Linked DNA regions of Medicago truncatula. The protein of the gene in region 3 binds, or shares a complex with, the protein of the main gene of each other region. Links are inferred from orthologs where the notes say so. Each region holds a gene or a part of one and is shown on either strand. Other genes may lie near its edges. The genes, in order: RAN GTPase-activating protein 1, RAN GTPase-activating protein 2 and WPP domain-interacting tail-anchored protein 1.

Region 1 (7,458 bases), on a different chromosome or scaffold from region 3:
AACACAAACAGAAACGAATACAAATTAGACTACAAAGATTTGGACAAAAAGTATATATCAAGGCCGTGACAGTAGATTTTGAATAAAATCTCATCCCTGTAGCAACATTTACTTTGCTTGCAATTGGTTTATGTTGTTTATAGACTAAGCCTACAATGCACAACATCAAAAGTATGATGCAGTCCTTCAGTAATAATCTGCATATGGAATCAATTGCAAACACGACCAGCAATCAAGTGTAATAACCTGCTTATTGAATCAATTGCAAATATTTAAGCACGAATCAGCAATCAAAGATAATAAATTGCCAGCAAAAGGCACAATAAAGCCCAAAAAATTCTACCATTCATACCATTTGCCTATTTCTTGTCTTGCCAGATATATTAAGAGCATATATCTGGTAAACTTCAATAAGCCAAGTTATGGAATCGAAAATCTAAAATACAAAGATTAAAATGCTAGCTGCTCAGTATAAAAAAAGTATGTCTATTGCAAACATAATTGGCCTACAAATTAATCTGAAGTAGCAATCGCATGACAGAGTCCTATGAATCTTCTTAAATCTCAAGGCCTTTCAGTTTTGACTCCAATTCATCATTATCGGAATTTTCTTCAGCCTCTTCATCAATGTCCTCTCCTTCAGGATCATTCTCATCCAAAGGACCCAGAATGTCAGGTGAGTTTTTAAATATGTCCTTTAACTCGTCAATCCCTTCATCAGAAATGAAGTTAGCATTAACATTCAGCAACTTAAATCCAGGTTTCTGGACAACAGCTTCTGCCAACAGTTTGGCTCCTGACCATGTGATCAAATTTGTACTCAGATCAACTTCACTTAATTGGCCAAGACCTTCCAGCGCCTTACTGATTAAACCTGCACCTTCATCTTTCAATTCATTCTCGGATAAATTTAACTTGGTGAGGAACTGCTTTGATGATATACATTCAGCTACAGAAACAGCAGTTTTAGCAGTAATGTCATTCCCAGCCATATCCAAAATTTCCAGTGACGGTGCAGATTCCTTCAAAGCATTAGCAAGGGCTTCTGCACCATCGTCCTCTAAGTTCAAATAACTGAGGTATATCTCTGTAAGATCAGCAAATACAGGTATAACTTTACTTAGAGCAACTCCAGCTTCCACACCAAACATGTTGTCACGCAAATCAAGCTTCTTCAAATGCGTGCAAGCCCCAAGCGCTTCAGCAAGAGCAACACCACCTTCAGCGCCTACTCTGGTAGATGAACACCGAAAATCTTCCAAAGCTGGGGAACGTTTCATAACATCAGCTATTGCAAATGCTCCTTCATCTCCAGTCATGTTATTATGGAAATGAAGAACCTTAAGCTTCTCAGTGGAAGGGATCAATTCAGCAACTGCTTTTGCAGCTTCCTCTGATATACCATCATTCATCAAATAAAGCTCCTCCAAGTCATTTTGTGATTTAAGGAGTGCCCGGAATGCTCTAACCCCCTTTTCGCCCATGGCATTATTTGACAGGTTAAGATGTCTCAACACAGCTCCTTCTAGTGCAGAAGAAAATATATTCATCACTTCAATAGCTTCTGCTTCTGGTCTCCCAGCAATAAAATCTGACAGATCTACCTCTTTCAGTTGATCTTTAATTGATATTAGCATGGGTTCAACGACATGAGCAGCATCCAAACCAAAACTTCTATTACTGAAACATATATTTGTAAAAGAGTTTGGTCCCATCAATGGTTTTAGAAGCTCTGAAGCTTCCTCCCCATCAATGAAAGCTCTGCGACCCCCAGAAATGTCAAAAACAGTTTCAACAGCAGCATCACCCTTTTCAGATATCAACTCCCCATTCTCCTCCTTCCCTCTTGGTCCTCTTTTCAAAACCTCCAACATAAGCTTACTCGATTCCTTGGCATAAATTTGCACAGCAGAACTCCCATCACCATCGGGCTCCTTTTCAAAGTGTTGGGTCGCAGTCACAAAAGCTGCATCCTCAATTTCCTTTGCATCCTTCTCAGCCTCATCTTTGTTAAGAAGTCCATACTTTCTAGAGAAAATGGACGGAGTCGTCAAGTTCCTGACCATCCGTCCAACCAACATCGACCTAGTACTCTGACTTGGAGGCCACAACTTGATTGAAAGTGTTCGGTGTTGGTACGACGGTACGGTAGAATCCATATCAACAGAACCTAGAAACAAGTATAGCAACAAATTTAAAAGTTTTCTGAATCATAATCTTCACTAGTGCCTATAAAACAACAGAAGACATAAAACTACTATCTAAAATTCATTAATTTGCTTTCTTCTTCAATAATAACTACAGTATAAAATCAAAACCAAAGAACCACAATATGCATACATAGTGATGTATTTTAACAGCACTAGAGTTATAATGACTACATATTTCAGTAACCCCACGGATTAATCATTCCTTGGGACCGAATACGAAGTTTTCAAAAATGAAAATGACTACAACTTTTAAATAAACCCTAAAAAAATTAATTTGTACAAATCAATAACTACCAAGGTTTCAAAAAAAGGACCGGTGCCGGGATTGCGGCCGTTACAAAACGGTATCAGCAGCCACCGTGACCGTTTTTGGATCTTTTCACGCCGAGAACAAAAATCACAGGAAATCGCCGTTACGGACTCCGTTACAGACTTGAAAATTCAGAAATTTGAACAGGAGAAAAGGAATCGAATCTCATATTAAAAAGGAATCTGAATCTTATCGATAACAAGCAGAGAAGAGAAAGAAAAGAGGGGAATAGATCTAGTACCTGAGTGAGAAATGAGAACGCAGAAACCCTAGAAAAGATAAAGTGCAGTAGCAGCAGAGAGAAAACGAAAAAGAAGATTTTTGAAATGATGATTAAAATTAGTTGGAGCCTTTTTATGCTGGAGCGGGGAAAAATAAAAATAAAAATTAAATTTAATGATTTTAATGTTTGAAAATTGAAAAATATGATAAAGATATTTGGATAGGGTAAAGCGTGCGTGGAAAAACTGGAGGGAAATGATTGAAAATGAAAAAAATGTGATGGATGGATCAAAATCAAAATCTCAATCGAATCCAGCTTTTTTTAAACGCCACCATTGAAATTGAAATCGAAATCCCAAAGCGTAGATTTTCCGATTCCGACAAAATGATGGTTTTAGCCTGTATACATCTGAATTTCTTCATGCATGACGTCACAAACCCTAATTGTGGTTTTATTTGGGCCTATACTTGGGCTTTGGAAAATCTTTGACTGGACTAGCTTATTATGCTGACAAATGCTGAAAAACATTTCTCTTTCCCCCTATATCTCTTAGAATCCCTAAATACACACATTCGGTTCTTTTTAAAAGAAATATACATCCGATTGTTTTTTTTTTTTATGAAGGAATACACATTTGATTGTAATCTACTAGGATTTTTTTTGTAAAAAAAAAATACTAGATGTATGTTTATTTTGGAAGTTATCTCCTATACGCGTGTTTGGCAGAAAGAAAAAAATAAAACACATCTGGTATATAACTATCATGTGTATAAATGGGCCTCAAAAGAAATGTTAAAAACTGAATTATGAAAATTTAACTTCATACCCCATTAATCCACTCAAAACAAATTATTTACCAAAAATATCCTTTTAGTTTAACAAATATAAAGATTTTTTTTTTCAAAAAACACGTATCTTCTAAATTGACCAAAGATCCCAAAAGAAAGAGCAAGTTTTTAAATTTTTCCTAAAGTTTTGCTTTTTATAAGGTTTGTTTGAATATTTAAATTGGATATTTGTTTTCAAAACTTTTTGGTTTCAAACAAAAATTTTGGCTTGAATATTCAAACCAAATCTTTAAAATTTCAAAACATTTTCCCTTGCATATCCTAAAAGAATGGTATTTGACGTTTTTGAATTATAAAATATGAATTGTATTTATCCATTTTTTATCATATTCAACTCAATTTATTAAAATGTTATAATTTACAGTGGCATACTTTAAAATACACAACATGATTTAAAAAATATTTTTAAACTTTTTTTCAAAACCCTAGCTTCTTTTTTCTCTGCCCTCTCTCTACACAAAACTTACTGCCGCCGCCCAAAAATTCAATATATATTCTTGAGATGTAGAGTCCGTTTATGGTGGTGCGACGAGCGGCTTGAGCCCTCCGCACCACCTACCTCCAGATCTGTCGATGGTCCTAAACTGCAATTTTGACGGTGGACCTCTGGTGGAGTTGTGAATTGTGTTACGGCTCTGTTTCTCTGGCCGTTCAACACTGATTGCTTGAGTTTGTCTTTTGGTATGTGGTGGTTGATACCAGATCCGTTTTCTCTCTTGACGGTGGGTGAAGGTTCTGTTTGCTCGCAACGTAGGTGGTGATAGGTCGGTCATAAAAGTTGTGAGGCATATGATATGTTATGGTTTAGATGGATTTTTGGCTGTGTTGGTTTATGGTGCTTCGTGGTGGTTTCCGCGGTGGTGATGATACTGAGTCTTTTGTGGAGGTGCTTGTGGTGGTTTTTCGTGGTGCTCGTGGTGGTTTTTGTGGTGATGCTTGTGGTGGTTGGTCGTGGTTATGTTTTTTGAGGGTTTTCTTCTATGAGTTCGTTGTTGATGTGGTTTTCAAATACAAGGGTGTTTTTGATAGATTTGATGGTTATTTTTACGCTTGGTGTTGGAACCCTATAGATTGTATCCATCGTCGGTAGGAAGGGGAGGAGTAATGGAGGTTGCTACTGTTTTGTTTTGTAGCGGTTTTTGTTGTTGTTTTGTTGCTGTTGTGGTGTGTTTCTGGGCTGATAGGGTGCTGACAACATCTGGCTTTGTGTTTGTTTTGCATCAGGCCTGCTATTTTTTTTGTTTTGTAAGGGATTAAGTAGAGCTGTCAAAACGGGCGCCCCGGCCCGTTTAAGCCCGGCCCGACCGGGTCAAGGGCTTTTAAGGGTCGGGCTAAAAAGTCCAGTTTGAATATGGACTGGAAAAGTAGAACCCGAGCCCGGCCCTTTACGGGCTAACGGGCCAGCCCAAGCCCGTTTTTTTTTTCTTTCTTTTATTTCATTCTGAACATAATAACATTTTTTTAGTTTTTTTTTTTAAAAAGCAAGGGCGATCAGACTCTCATTTTGAAGTAAAATGGACCTTTGTTCACTGCCTAGAATGAAAACCCATTCTAAGCAAAGTGCTTGTCCGTCTAAGCAACAAAAGTAATGTTGTAATTTTCGTTTTGTCATGAAAATACACCATTTCCTTAATATAAGAGCAGCATGATGCATTTCAGAAAACAAATAAATGTAGAAACTACTTTTACCAATATATCTGAAATGAAATTCCTACATTATGCTTTGATCACCTTTTGTCTTGTGAAAATGCTTGTTCCACAGACTACAAACAATCGAATTGAAAATGCTTGCAGTCACCATGTAACATACACAGACCAACAAAAAAATAATAAAAAGTAACCCACTTGAATTTTTGGCGGGCTGCCCGAGGCCCGAACGGGTTACGGGCTTTTACGGACCGGGCTAAAAAGCCCTAGAAAAATTCGGGCTCCAATTTTTCGGCCCAGGCCCTGCGTTTTATTCGGGATTTCGGGCCGGCCCATACGGCCCGCCCCATTTTGACAGCTCTAGGATTGAGGATTGGCTCTATTGTCTTTAAGCTCAATCTGTTTCTGCTTTTTATGCATGGCTAGTTTATTTTTGGGGTTGTTAGTAATTTGGAGGTGTTCTGCCTATACAAGACGCATTCTTTAAAGCTAAATTTCTAATACAATAAAATAGATGGAGAATGAGTGAAAAAGGTGTGTCATCCCTCTCGCATGCCCTCCGAAAATTTTGGGAACAGAAGATTACGAGGCAGTGAAGGTGGAATCTTATATGTACAATCTCATATCCAAATCGATGAGGAATACAATATGGAGAGGATCAACCACCTTTTGACCATTCATACTAACCCTACAATAAGGCATAAATGTCTTTGTTGATCTTGTTTGTAAAAGGTCAATTGTGAAATTATGACTTCGTAACCATCCCAAAAGAAAACAGAGAAAAAAAAGAGAAGAATAAGGAATATGAGTTTTAAAATGAAGAGTACAAAAGAAAGGAATGGTATTTGAGGGCAAAGTTCAACAAATATTGTTTTTACAGTCAATTCAAACGTGTAATACAATCAATAAAACGTGTATAACACCGCACATTGACCCAAAAACCGTCAGACCTTCCAAATGTCACTGACGAAACCACTTTCCAAATTCTAGAATGTTTCAGATTATATGATCCAAATATATGTCCAATATTAGTTCATATTATATAATCCAAAATTGTCCAGATTATGTTAAATCTTGTGATTTGGATGGTTTGACACATTTCAAATTGTATAATCTAAATTAGTCAAATACATGATTTTTTGTGGTCCACTTTGCACCAAAAGTTTTCATGACCTATGACACATATGGACTTCTATAAATTGGCGTGTTTGGTTCATTTGAAAACCACACGACACAACAATGAACACTTATCAAATAAATATGAACACTAAACTAGCTGTAGAGTTTACTATAGCGGAGAAACTGAATCTACTTATGGTCCACATTGATATCACACTGTGTGACTTTAAAGGTCAGCTAGACCAAATTAACAGTCTCAACCACAAAGATACAAGAACGGTAGATAGTGTTGAGTATCGTCGTCTGTCAATCGATTCAGATGAGTGTGTTCATTTCACTTAGATGAATCTTCAGAACGATGACGAGGTGAGTACCATGTTCTTTATGTTTGGTCAGTATGGTTCAAAGAGACTGATCAAGTTTCAAGTTTCATTTATTAGATCTTTTTCTTGATATTCAATCGATGACCTACAGAGAAATCAAGGAATGCATGGATATACCATATGAATATTTTAGTTGGTTGTTCCATGATGTTGTTTATATTTAAGTATTATGTTTTACTTTTTTGTATTTTGTTATTGAATTATCTTGTTGAAATTATGTAGTTGAAATTGTTATGTTTAATTTATGCTGTTGTTGTAGAATTTGATGGCAGATTTACCTATTTATTATGTTCTAAACACGGTTTGAATTATATAATCTGAAACAAATCAAACCCCCAAATCACAATTTTTAACACAATTTATGCACGTTTCAGATTATATATTCTGAACCAATACTAGACATGATTTTAGATTATATAATCCAAAATATTCTAGATTTTGAATTGTGATCTTACAAGCAAAGTTTGAGCGATTTGTGCTTCTTTTTTGACAAGTTTGGTTCATTTTACACATTTTGTTTGACTATAGTTACAATATAGAAAGGTGTTATGGGTATAAATAATCTTGCATTCTTCTTTATTTTCATTGCAATTTCCCTCTTCTTTTCTTTTTCTCTTTTCTTTCTTACTTTTCCTTTCATGACGAATATGATGTCATGGTCGCTGTTGATCAAAAACTTCGATCATTTGTGGGATTTTTGTAGGATGGTCAACATAGA
Region 2 (6,920 bases), on a different chromosome or scaffold from region 3:
CGTCCCACCAGACAAGAGGTTGGTCTGCAGTGAAAGCAGCCAACTTTTCATCATTTTTTTATCACATCAATTTTTTCATTCGTCACAGGTTTAGTATCTATTTTCATTTTTTTGGTACAATCCTTTTATTTCATTTTACCTTCTCTTATTTACAATCTCTCATGGGTTATGAGAACTGAAGCATGGCCTCGTGGGGATGAAAGTTGTTTGAATAGTATACGAATAGGAAAGTGAGGTGGGGTTTAGCCTGGAAAAGGGGAGTTGTTTCCCACAATGGGAAAGTTGATTATGTCCATTAGATTAAATGAGAAACAAATCCTTATCCTACTCTCTCAACACTAGATTATTGTTTTACACTATCTTCCACCATCTCTCTTTCATGTCCCACACACTCATACCACAACCACCACTATATCAGATACAGCAACCACCACACACCACCATGTTGCTGCTGGAAAACTCAGATATTATAAGTGCTTAATTAGGCTATTTATCCAAAGACACTCTAGCTCTTTTTAAGCTTTTGTTTAATAAAAATGATGAAATTCATTCTTTTAATCTACCATAATCAGTGGTAACTCCATGCTAAAAGTGTGATGCTTAGATTTTGTCGAGTCAAAGCTTAAAAAAGGCAATCAAACTAAGAAGCAGGTATATATTTAGGATAGGACCAATGGTCTTTCCTCCACCGCCTGAGACAACGCTGTAGTTGCAGTTTTGATTTTTAAAATTAAGTTGCAACTCTTAATTCTTTTGGGCGAGAATTTTAAAGCTTGTGTTAATGAGCTTAGGAGAAGGATTTGAGAAGTTATTTTATGATTCTGAATTCAAAAAACAAGAAAGAGAGATGGTGGAAGATAGTGTAAAACAACGATATAGTGTATGAGAGAGTAGGATAAAGATTTGTTACTCATTTAATCCAATGGACATAATCAACTTTCCTATGGTGGGAAACAACTCCCTTTTCCCATACTAAATGCCACCGGAAAGTGAACCACACCACTTATTTATCTGAAGGAAAATACTTGTTTAGGCACAAGTGTTTGGTCACTAAATTTAGGCACACATACATAATTGAGAAAAGATAGAGAAAGAGAAAATAATTAGATCATATTTATTTTTTAAATAATTAAATAAAATGTATTTTTCTTATCAAAAAAATAAAATAAAATATATTTTTATGTGTGGTGTGTCCAAAAGCTTATGTTCGTGCAAGACTTTCTCTTATCTGAAAGTCTCAATTAAATTAAGAAGGGTGGCAATGATGTAAGCGCTAAGAAGTATGGCAATGCTTGGATGATAGCCTAAAATTTGGCCTTTGTCACGGTGATATACGGATAACACTTGTGTATCACTGGGATATCAATGTTATATAACATTGGCCAATGAGGGTGTGCCACGTAGCACTTCACATGTATATCTTTTCTCTTTCCTCTTTAGTCATTTCTTACATCGGTTATGTGGCATGCCATCATTGGCCAATGTTATATAACATTGGTATTTCAATAGCACACAAGTTCTATCCGATGATTAGACATGACAATGGGGCGGATCGGGGGCTGGTTTACGCATCCTCGTCCCTGTCCCCACTTCCATGCACCCGCCCCCATCCCCAAACCATAACGGGTAAAAATTGAACACCCAACCCCGCCCCCAATGGAGACAGGTCTCTCTGCCCCGCTCCACCCGCAAAAACTCTATTTTTTATAAAATATTTAAAAAAATGCATATTTTTTCATAACAACAAAAAATAATAACTATATTAATAATTAAATATTTAATAAAAAAAATTTAAAAGAGCAAAATAATTATAGTAAATATGTTTCTAAAGAGTAATGATATATTAAAATTGGTTGGTGCTTATGGAAATAAGATTATAAAACTTAATAAAGTAAATTTTAAAAAACGGGTGTGGGGCGGGTGTAAGCATCCCCCGCCCCCGGCGCCGCCTACGTACTGAAAACTAAATTTCTCTCACACCCGCATCTAGTTAAATCGGTTTTCCCCGTTAAATTTGGGACGGGGACGATCGGGTTTGGCGGGGGCGAGTTTTGTTGTCATGTCTACCGATGATATACAATGTAAGTATGGAGTTGTGAAAGACATAAATTCAGAAAAAGGCTAATGTTGTTTCTCCCAAGAAAATGTTTCGTGAATGCATCACGACCATTTAATTTGTAAATTTTTTAACATGACAATTTATTCGGGACACCTTCGTGGTCATTTTTTTCTGTATTTAGCAGTGCTCTTAGTAAAATTATCAACAACAGAAAAGAAAATGAGATAATATAAGCATTTGATACTCATGTGCTAAATGCCTTCTTATAGTTTTTTTAAAAATGCAGTGTCAAATCCATTTTTGTGGCCAATCACTTTAGCATTCTGATTAGAACTCCCTCCTTGTGCACTCTTTCTCCAGAATGGTGAAAGTTTAAAGTATGTTTAAATTATCGTTTCAATCAGCCATTCTACTTTCTGGTGCAATTTTAAGCCTATGTTTGTATTGAGGATGGATTTGTTGTAAAAGTGCGTTTCGAGAGATCATACAATTTGTAGCTTCTCTATTATCAATTTCCAAGGCTCTCAAACACACGGTAGCAGTGGTGAAATGTCAAACAAGCACATACTTAAATGATTCCATTGTGACCACACAATCGCATTACGATTTCTAGAAATTCAAAATACATGATTTATAGACGATCAATTCAGTAAATTTATCAACAACATAAAAGAAAAGAAAATGAATTAAGTAAAGACATAAATATTAGAGACACTCCAACCTATTTTGACAATAAATCAACTCTTTTTTTAAAATGAATTAATATAAACAAAAATGATGGTTGAAAAATTAATGTGTGTGGCAAAATTTTAATCCACATATATCAATTTTCTAACTACCTTTTGTTTTTGTTTATATTTATTCTGGAGGGAGTATGTTAATCATAATATTAAATTTCTCATGTGATTAATGTTTTTTTTTTTTTTTGTGATGGTCAGAGTTTAAACTACGAATATAGTAATCCAACTAACAATAGAATTCCTCCGCTAAACTTACCACATTGTTAAAAATACGGTTATTCCTAGCCCTCCAAATAACCCACAAGGTGGTATGCCAAACAAGACGCCTACCCATTTGAAACAATTTACTAGTCGTCCTCCCCGCATTCCAACAAAGCCAATGAACGAACAAATTGGGCGGTGTAATGAATTCAATCTCAAACCACCTTTTGACTTTCTCCCAAACCGAGCTAACTACATTGCAATGCAAGAACAAATGGTTGGTGGATTCCTCCTCCAAATCACACAAAACACAATGCAAACTTAAATTTGGAGGTAGAGCATGATGATAAAGAAGATTCAAACGGGTCGGTATACGATTAAGCAAAGATCTCCAAGAGAGCGCCACCACCTTAGAAGGAGCCGGGCTCTTCCAAACTTGGCTAAAGACATGTTTCTCCTCTAACCCCCACTCATTCTCAATACCCGCCACCACCTCTAGCTTCTTATACAAAGAACTCACGGAAAACCTACCATCCTCTTCAAGCTTCCACCACCACTCATCCGTCCCATTTGAAGTCACAAAACCTTGAAGATCGAGTAATAAATTTGCAAGAAGGTCTTCCTCCCAAACAAACAACCTTCGCCTCCAAGTGAAAAGCCAATCTAATCCCGTGCCGGACAACACTCCTATCTCCCCTACCTTAGCATCTTTAAGGTTTGAAATAGCAAAGAGCCTTGGATATTTGTTACAAAAAGCCACCTCACCCCTCCACTTAGTCTTCCAAAAATAAGTATCTAAACCATTATGAACTTTCCTAGCCAATTCCGTATTAAACCAATTCATCCCATCACCATCATCAATGGTCATAATATCTTTCCACCATCTTGAAGTGTGACTATGCCAATTTCCACCATCATATTTTATTTGTTGTTTTGCTTAGTTTCATTTAGCTATGATTATCACATGAACAACAACGGATTATGATTGAGAAATAAAAACAGGCCCTACTTTATTATTGCAATCAATTCAGCCTATACAGTATGATATCTGTTAATTATTATTTCAATTACTTATTTGATGGGTTTTTATAGTCGTTGCTCCTATTTCTTGAGCTACTTTTCAGAGCAGTTTTTTATATCCAATTCGTAAATTAATTTTTGTTATCTGTGTATTATGTCCTTAACACTAACCTCCCATAGCTGCATTTTACATATGTGACTTATAATCATGATGACTTAACAAGTGACGAAAATGTGTCTTGTTTTTTTAGATACATTTTCAGTGTGACTTATTCTTGGTGTGTTACTTATAGTCATGATGACTGATAACCTTTCAGAATTTAGATACATTTTCAGTTTGATATCTAAAGTGGGCAAGGGCTTCGAAAATGTGTCGTATTTTTTCAGATACTTTTTCAGCGTGTGACTTATTTTTAGTGTGTGACTTATAATCATGATGACTTATAACTTTACATGAATCGTTTTTGCAGGTTTGATTGATATGGAGCTGAATTCGCAGAACAGGCCGTTCTCAATCAAATTATGGCCTCCTAGTCAGAACACTAGACAGACGCTTGTGGAGAAGATGACCAACAATCTTACTACGAAATCCATTTTCACTCAAAAGTATGAAACCTTGCACCCGAAACAGGCTGAAGAAAATGCTAAAAGAATTGAGGACAAGGCTTTTGCCACGGCAAACCTACATTACGAGAAAGAGCCAGATGGTGATGGAGGTTCTGCAGTCCAGCTTTATGCCAAAGAATGCAGTAAGCTCCTCCTAGAACTTCTTAAAATGGGTCCTAGTAAGAACAGTGTCAAAGAAGCGGTGATTTCTGATGCTGCTGCTGTCCCTCGTGAATCTGTTTTTGATATATCTAAAGGCCAAAGGGCTTTCATTGAAGCAGAGGAGGCTCAAGAACTTTTGAGTCCACTGAAGGAGCCGGGTAATTCTTTCACTAAAATATGCTTCAGCAACAGAAGTTTTGGATTAGGAGCAGCAGAAGTCGCTAAGCCGATTTTCATATCCCTCAAGGACCAGTTGAAAGAAGTAGACCTGTCAGATTTTATTGCTGGAAGACCAGAAGCAGAAGCACTTGATGTCATGAGGATATTCTCGGCTACTCTAGAAGGCAGTGTCTTGAAGTATTTAAACCTTTCTGACAATGCTTTAGGTGAGAAAGGTGTTAGAGCATTTGGAACTCTCTTGAAATCACAAAGCTGTTTGGAGGAGCTTTATCTTATGAATGATGGAATTTCAGAAGAAGCTGCTCAAGCAGTTTCTGAGTTGATTCCTTCCACAGAGAAGCTCAAAGTTCTCCATTTTCATAATAATATGACTGGAGATGAAGGAGCACGTGCTATAGCTGAGGTTGTGAAGCGTTCTTCTTGCTTGGAGGATTTTCGTTGTTCCTCCACAAGGATAGGCGATGAAGGTGGAGTTGCCTTATCTGATGCTTTGGGGGATTGCACCCATTTGAGGAAGCTTGATTTGCGAGACAACATGTTAGGTGTAGAGGGTGGGGTTTCCCTGAGTAAAGCTCTTGCCAAGAATGCAGAGTTAAGAGAGATATACCTGAGCTTCCTGAACTTGGAAGACGAAGGAGCAATTGCTATAGCTAATGCTCTTAAGGCATCAGCTCCTCGCCTTGAAGTTCTCGAGATGAGTGGAAACAATATTACAGTTGATGCTGCTCCTGCTATAGCAAACTGCCTTGCAGCCAAGCAGTTTCTTGCCAAGTTGAACCTCTCTGAGAATGAACTCAAAGATGAAGGTGCCATCCAGATAAGTAAGGCTTTAGAAGGCCTTTCACAATTAAAGGAAATCGATCTAAGTTGCAACAGAATAACCAGAGACGGGGCTCAACAATTGGCTCTCACTGTGTTGCAGAAGGTTGATTTTGAACGTCTGGACATTGACGGAAACTTCATTTCTGATGAAGGTATTAAAGAGTTAATGGTTATATTTGAAAAATCTCCGGACAAGCTTGGTCCATTAGATGAAAATGACCCTGATGGAAAAGACGGTGATGAAGAATCTGACGAAGAGGGTGGTGTGGAGGATGCACTGGAATCCAAAATGAAGAACCTTGTAGTTGATTGAATTGTAACTGTTAGTAGCTTACTGGTTCTACTGCAGAAGTAACTCTTATGACATTAGTATCAGTTTATTCATTCACAGAATCATATGTAACCGTCAAGATGCATCATTTCACCAAAATATTGAATCATTATGCGTATCTTGGTGATACTTTAATTTTGGTGGTCTAACCATTGTGGGTATCTCTGGACTAGATATCGTAATCTTGTCGTCATTAGTGTATTAACACCTGGTTATCATCAGATTCAGTGTTATGTTGGTCAATTTACATGATCGCTGTGACGAGTATTGGAGCTATTCTAATAGATACTCCAAAACTGATTAGAATATGTTTAATTTTATTCTATTATTTTCAATAAAGTCATAACATTATGGCATAATTTAATTTATGTAGCCGACCTTACACAGGGGAATAAGACTTAGTTCTTATTGTTGTATTTACAATAAAAATAAAAATGTATTGAAAAATACAGACAATAAAAATGAATTGATTTTTTTTTTGTTGGTATTTTTGAGTTTTGTTGGGTACCAATACCCTCCAAGCAAAACTATCTGACATTGTAGTGTTCACCGCATTGTGTTGTCGATTTACTTTTAATATATAAAGCAAATACAAAGGTCGTGTTTTACTAACATCTTTTTGAGAGGATGTTTTAACATTGTTCAAAATTTAAATAAGAAAATATTCCAGTGTTAGAAACGGTAATTAAACAATCATCCTTGTGAGCTTAGCTCAGTTGGTTGGGACAATGCATAAAATATGAAAGATTCGGGATTCAAACCCCGGCCATGACCAAAAAACAATGGTTTTGGCACATTT
Region 3 (7,051 bases):
GGCATAATAGTAGCTACCTAATTGTCGGGTTATAAGAAGAGTCTCGACGATAATTTAATTGACCAAAAACAATTGTAAAAGTAGAATTTAGCATCATATTTTATGAGTCATCTTATTTATATATTGTTCAACATTTATTTTTCTATCCACCACCTAACTGGATTTCCTTAACTTTATAAATGGACGATTAGAGAGTAGTACGTCTACTTTGTAGGTCTAACACTTTGTCTCATGTAAATTTTCAATAACTTTGTAGGCCTAACACTTTGTCTTGTATAAATTTTCAACAATGTAACACATTTATTTTATAAATACAAATCATGGTAAACAACCTATATTACTCATTTTATTTATATATTGTTCAACATTCATTTTTCTATCCTAGACTCTAACGGAATTTCCTTAACTTTGTAAATGAAAAATAGAGAGTAGTATGTCCACTTTGTAAGCTCGACACTTTGTCTCGTATAAATTTTCAATAGCAAAGTAACAAAAATATTATACATACAAATCATGGTAAACAACTAATCATTGTTTTAAAAAATGTTAAATAAAAAAAATAGTTAACAAGTAAATATCATCATAATATGTTTTTAATTTTTGAAACAAAAATAAAAATATCAATGCTTATTTTTTAAAAGGTTTGCGACTCATGTCCTAGAAAGAATGTGAGTGTATAAAATTCTTCCTTTAGGCACATTGTGACGTTTGTGACCCAATGAGTTCGATCCACATATAACTTCATTCACATACCTAAAGATATATGATAATATAAACTTACAATAACTATCTTGTATCATAAAAATCATTTTCTTTCAAATGTACATGTCCTAAATTAGGTAGGTATAGCTAACCTCCAAAATTGAGCCGTATGTTTTTTTTTTTCTTTATCTTGTATTATGTTTAGTGATAGGTTTCCTAAATTTTTATGCTTCTTTTTCTCCTCACAATTGCATCAAACTTAAATTAATTTTCTATGAAAATGTTTTGAAAATATATTGTTACAATCTTAGTCAGCATTTGCTGACATATCTAAACACTTGATGAATCACGACCAGCCAATAACACTCATTGTTTTGGTTTACCCATGAAATTACTACACCTAATATATGTGGTGAACCGTGATATCAAATTTTCTTTATTATAAACTTGTGGTTGAAATTGCAGGGGCTTAAAATAATGGTGATTTATAAGTAATGATTTTTAAAGTAACCACTTGCATGTTATGTTTGTTTGTTTTCCCTCTAATAATAATCAGATACTGTGCAAAACTAGTTTAATAAGATCAATCATTATTGTGTTGTTTTCTTTATAGGAATCAATATTGGGAGCTTCTACAATGCAGTTATGAAACTGACATTTTTGAAAAAGTTAATTTTAATCTTTAATGATTTATTCATTTTTAAATTTTTGATTACTCATTAATGATCAATAGTAATTCATCTAGTAATGCTTGCAACATCTTAGACTTACATGTACTATTTTATCGTTGGCATCTTTAACATGCAAACATAGTTGCTGATATCATGCGATAGTCTTAAGTATTACACTTTGTGGGCTGTTACACTTAAAACAAAGTAGGATAAAATTAAATTAAGTGTATTTTTGTTAATATGATGAATTGATGATACTATGAAGACTGAACTTTTGATGCCACTGTACAAACAGTGGGGTGTTACTCACAACACTTTTGATGTTATAGTGTTAACTTCACTAGAAAAGTCATTCTCATGACTTCACCATAGAATTTTCCATCAAAATATTATGTTGTTGTTGGCCAATACATTGATCTTCTTTACGGAGTCTTATTTTTTATAGAATTTTAATAAGGAAAATGTTAACAAATACATTTATGATATTTGTTAAGAAGATAAAATTTTATAAGTTTAACATGTGTATAATTTTTATGAGTTATGCTAACAAGTATAGGACACTTTTAACAGATATCTATGATCTCACAATTATTTTAATTTGAATACAATTTTTATGAGCTAATGCTTGATCTCTACCTAATACCTATATTTTTGCAACATTGTTGAAAAAAGACAAAATTTAGATACATTTCGATAGGCAGTGAGGATGCAAGCCAAATTTTTACGAGTGAGAGAATATAACGAAATAAAATATATATTTTTAAATTAATATATAAAATTTAATTATCTATAAGATAAAAAATTCACAATAATTTTAACTATATAAGAAGAATAAATTATATAATTTTGTCTTTAAATTTTTTATTGTTAATAAAGTTTTCTTCGTATAGTTGTTTAAGATACCAAAAGTGACAAAAGAAGATGAAATAAATTTATTAAACAAGTGATAATCTTTTTAATATCTTATATCTCTCTCTTTTTTTTTATTACAAATAAACATATATGAAGTAGCTAGGTATATTTTTATTCGGGTAGCTAAACGTAAAAAAGACTTATTTATACAATTAAAATAATAATTTGGTGTAACTAAAGCTATCATTTTGATGCCCATAGCTACACCTTTGTCATTACGTGGTTTTCGTACAATTCTTAACTAAATTAGTCATGATTTTCTTAAATTCATACTTTCATTATAACCATAAATATTGTATTTTTAGTTAAGAATCTTACAAAAATACACCTAATTTTTTTGAGATCAAGTAATTTAGTGGCTGAAGCTCACATATTTTAAATGTGGAGAAGTGTGGTGTCTGAGATTCGAATCCTACATAAATGACAAAAAAAATACACCTAAATCATGCATTGTCCTATCAACTGAGCTAATCTCACGGGGACAATACACCTAAATTTTATCCTAAAGGAAAATACTTATGCGATATCACGTATTGTCACGGAGCATAAATGACGAAGGCTGAGAAATATGATGGTGCTAATAGCAGGAGAAATATTGTGAAATTGGGCCAACAATTGAATAAAGGCTAAATGGGATATATGTAAGGAAAAACTCTTGATTTTGTACGAATTTATCCTGCTATTTGCACCATCATATTTCTCTTTAGACTTCAAATTTCTCCTGCTATTATATTAAGAATTTGGGAAAATTTACCTTGTACTTTTACATTTAGGAAATTTCTCTTTAGACTTCTCAAATTTCTCATAAGTTTCCCCGAGAAGTACTTAAGTGTCGTTGAATGTATTTTATTTTGGTCTTTTTGGGGTGTTTGGAGGAAAAAATGGAAGCTAAAGAGCAATTTTCTTGCATATGTACTTCACCCCTACAAACTATAAACTTGAAAACTCTAAATTTTGTAAATTTTTTTAAGAAATATTTAATCCTTAATATAAAAAACATTAGTGGAAAAGGAGATATCTATGAACATAATTTCAATGCAGTGATTGAATTTAAATGGTTAATAGATTGGAATTAACAAGAATTAAAATTTTGATTAACAATTTTCAACCCAATTTTAATTATCTTTTAGCGGAGTTTTGAATTATTAGGATCTCATTCATGGGTTATGAAAAAAAAACATAAACATAACCATGAAAGTTGAACTCTTGTGCAAAAGAAAAACAAACTTCATAAATCTGAACATTTGTTGCGAACATAAATTTTCACAATTTCAATAAAAAAAACATTTTATTTGCCGAAGCCCCCTTTGTTACGAAATGAATTGGTCTAACCGGTAAGGACTTGAGTTTCTTAATCATGTGGTTAAAAATCCGATTCCTGGTTAATGTGTATAGAAAAAAATCCGGTTGAAATGGAAAAACTCATCTTCTGTATCACACATGTTTTTCGTCAGAGATTTTGGGAGAACTCACCTTACATACCTCACATATTTTTCGACGGAGATTAGTCATTATAAACGACAAGAGAAACTTAAGTAACAAAAATATGATGGTAACCCGAATTCAGTTGGAAGAGGAGAACACACCTTATGCGTCACATATATTTCCTGATAGAGATCATAGAAGAATCTATCTTACGTGTCTCACATATTTTAGGATAGAGATTAGTCATTGTAACCGATGAGAGAAACGTCGTTGAGAACACAAGAGGCACACGGCACACCCCCTTTTTCATCCACGTGTCACAAACATTAAAAAAATAACACCACTTCATAGCAAAACGCTGCGTTTCACAGTGAGCTGCAAGTGTTGGGGATCTCCGATTCAGTTTTCAGTTAGGCGCAACTGTTTCCGTTGTCTGAAATATTCATCACTCCAACCGATCCAAAATCAACCCAATTTCATTCTTCAATTGGTATTGTTCCATTCTCTCCAATTTTTCGTATTTTAATTCTAACTTTGCAATCTCAATTAATTTTTTTTTTAAATTTTTCAATTAATTTTTTTGGTGTTTCCGGTATATTGTACTGTATTCACTTTATGGATCAAATAGTTAAAGTTTCATTTTATTGCATTTTATGTTTAGTTATGTCTCTGTAGCACCAACACTACCGCCACTTCTGATCAAAGATGTGTCTGGTGTCTGACGGTTGTGACTACGTTCAATTAATTATTATTTTTAATTTTTTTTATTGGGATCGGTGTCGGTGGTGTCTGGTGTTCGTATATGTGTTAGTGCTTCATAGGTTATCATACATATTTTATACACTGACTCGCGCGACACATGGTCGATCACTTTAAAAAGTATGGTTGATTTAGTTGACTAGATTGTTACTTAACTTCATGGCTCAACTAGTTAAACTTTCACCTTTTTGCATTTTAGTTTAAGTTATTATTTTTGCAGCACTGTAGCATTGGCGTGTCCGACACCAACACGACACTGATACAGGTTATTATACATAGACACTCACCTTTTGTAAACCCGGAGACACCTGGTTAATCACGTTAAAAAGTGTGGTTAATTTAGTTAACTAGATTGTTATTTCAATTCACGGCTAAAATTCTGGTTAATTCAACTATATGAATTAACCACAACTTTTTGATCAGGTGATCAATTGAATTAATCATCTACTTAGCTGAATTAACTACATTTTTACACTTGATTAACCAGGTGTCCCAGCTGTATGAAAAGCTGGTTGTTGATAAAGCATTTCTGTTTTAACTTTTTGAGTTTTCTTCCAGGATCCATAACAACAATTGTTGAAGTTTTTTTACGATTAGAACAATGGAAACTCAAAGTGTTGAAGATAATACCAGTGATGTTGATGTTGGAGGTGTTTCAGATAATGGAGAAGTTATTGTGGATTTTGAAATGAGTGTGGTATATTTCTCTGAGAAAGTTTCAAATTTAAGTATTTTTATGATGAATTTGGAAACTTTGGAAGGTGAATTAGAGGGTTTAGTTTGTGATGAAGAAAACATCGATATGGATTGTGTTTTAAAGGGTTTTGAGTTTGATTTGTTATGCGGGGTAATGGATTCTGAGGTTGGAGATTTGGGTTTGTTTTTGGATACACTTCATGCTGAGATTTCTGGTTCTAGAGAGAGAGATTCTTCTTTGAACAATTGGCAAGAGAGGTTGGTTGAATCCGAGGAGCAGTTTTATGAGATTAAGAAACAATCTTTTAGTTTTGAAAGGACTTTGTCTTCTTATAAGAAGGAAGAGAATGGTAAGTAGAAGATCTTAATGATTCATATTTATATATGTTGTTTTTGTTGTTGTTTGAACATTGATTGCTTGTTGTTTTTATCTGTTACATGTTCCTGTCTTTTCATTTACTTGTTAGAATAGGGTATATTCTTTTATGTGGGGTCCACCTTAATTTTCATGTGATATTGTGTGTATAATGTTTATGCAATATGAATTGCAAAAGCCTATTTTGCATTAATGGAACTCTTCTTTTTTGTTTTAAAAAATAAGAAAAGGAAGAAAGAGTTGTGAAGAACATATTGAACATTTGAACCGACCAATGAGAATATTTTTATCTGAATAATTTTGCGAGTTTAATTTTGATACATTCCCAGTGTGAAAAATCTAGACTCTTAGTAAATCACAACCAATCATAAGTGTGACTTCGTAAGTGGTTATGAACTTATGATTAAATATAAACAATGTTAATGTTCTAACTATTATGATTGATTGACAGTGTAAAAAATCTTTCCACTGATAGTGTATATGAATTAAACCCTAAATTTTCATTTCTAATAAATATTTGCTGTCCTTTTTTATGTGTTGGATTTTCAATGACGACAGGGAATGTTGAAGACGATGGAAATGTCCAAGAGGATGATCAAACTTCGAATGTAAACAACATGATGAACATGCAAACAACTGAGCAACATAGAAACATTTTGAGGATGCTTGAGAAATCTTTGGCAAATGAAATAGATCTCGAGAAGAATTTCAATGACTCGAAGAAAATTGAAGAAAAGCTAAATCTGAGGATCCTTTCTTTAGAAGACGAGTTAATTCAAACAGAGGAAGAAGCGATCGAAGTTTGGGAAAGATTTTTTGAGGCAGACAATGCGCGTGAGATCCTGAAGGGAATTTCAAATGAAGTGTTGGCTAAACTCAAGCTTTCTCAGTTCAATTTGGTCGGTTTAAGAAAAAGTGAATCCGAGCTTAGAGATAAGCTGGAAACTTCTATAGAGCAATTGAAAAGTAGAGACGTTAATTTGGAAAAGATCGAAAGCAGCGCAGCTGAAGCAGTCAATTTAGGTGACAAAGTGTGTTCACTTGAGAAGCAGCTACAAGAAACTGAATGCCAGTTAGTGAATGTGAAAGTCTCTGCCGATGAATATCAGCAACAGTATAACGTTGTGTGTTCTCAAGTTAGAGACATGGATAACCTTATCGTAGAATTGAAAGAAAATGCAAAAAATGCAGAAAATCAAGCTAATGCTGCAGAAGTTCAGTGTAAAAAATTGACGGAAACTAATGAAGAACTCAACAAGGAGCTGACTCTTTTAAAAGACTGTGGTATCACATCCGAGAGTGTAGAGTTACTTGAAAGGCAGCTAAAGGAGACTGATTTACAGCTGCAACAAGCAGTAGCGTCTGCTGGAGCTAGTGAAGAGAAGCAAAAGATGCTGTGTTACACAATTGAAGATATGGAACATGTGATAAAGGATCTTAAGTCAAAGGTTTCTAAAGCTGAGAGTCTAGCTGACAGTGCAGAGGACAAGTGTATCATATTATCTGAATC

Evidence for each region.
Region 1: WPP domain-interacting tail-anchored protein 1 (region 3) and RAN GTPase-activating protein 1 share a complex: the UniProt entries of both Arabidopsis thaliana proteins name them as parts of the ran complex. The link is inferred for Medicago truncatula from reciprocal best matches to the Arabidopsis thaliana genes WIT1 and RANGAP1.
Region 2: WPP domain-interacting tail-anchored protein 1 (region 3) and RAN GTPase-activating protein 2 share a complex: the UniProt entries of both Arabidopsis thaliana proteins name them as parts of the ran complex. The link is inferred for Medicago truncatula from reciprocal best matches to the Arabidopsis thaliana genes WIT1 and RANGAP2.

What each region holds. Positions count from the first base shown.
Region 1 is NC_053042.1:35,966,376-35,973,833, reverse strand, and holds RAN GTPase-activating protein 1, read right to left. Parts: upstream 3,111-7,458; 5' UTR 2,762-3,110; intron 2,171-2,761; 5' UTR 2,160-2,170; coding exon 558-2,159; 3' UTR 238-557; downstream 1-237. UniProt on the Arabidopsis thaliana protein: GTPase activator for the nuclear Ras-related regulatory protein Ran, converting it to the putatively inactive GDP-bound state. Plays a role in spatial signaling during cell division.
Region 2 is NC_053042.1:51,000,392-51,007,311, forward strand, and holds RAN GTPase-activating protein 2, read left to right. Parts: upstream 1-4,318; coding exon 4,319-4,373; intron 4,374-4,490; coding exon 4,491-6,103; 3' UTR 6,104-6,370; downstream 6,371-6,920. UniProt on the Arabidopsis thaliana protein: GTPase activator for the nuclear Ras-related regulatory protein Ran, converting it to the putatively inactive GDP-bound state.
Region 3 is NC_053048.1:5,940,583-5,947,633, forward strand, and holds the start of WPP domain-interacting tail-anchored protein 1, read left to right. Parts: upstream 1-3,973; 5' UTR 3,974-4,200; intron 4,201-4,689; 5' UTR 4,690-4,734; intron 4,735-5,027; 5' UTR 5,028-5,070; coding exon 5,071-5,515; intron 5,516-6,099; coding exon 6,100-7,051. UniProt on the Arabidopsis thaliana protein: Together with WIT2, required for the nuclear envelope docking of RANGAP proteins in root tips.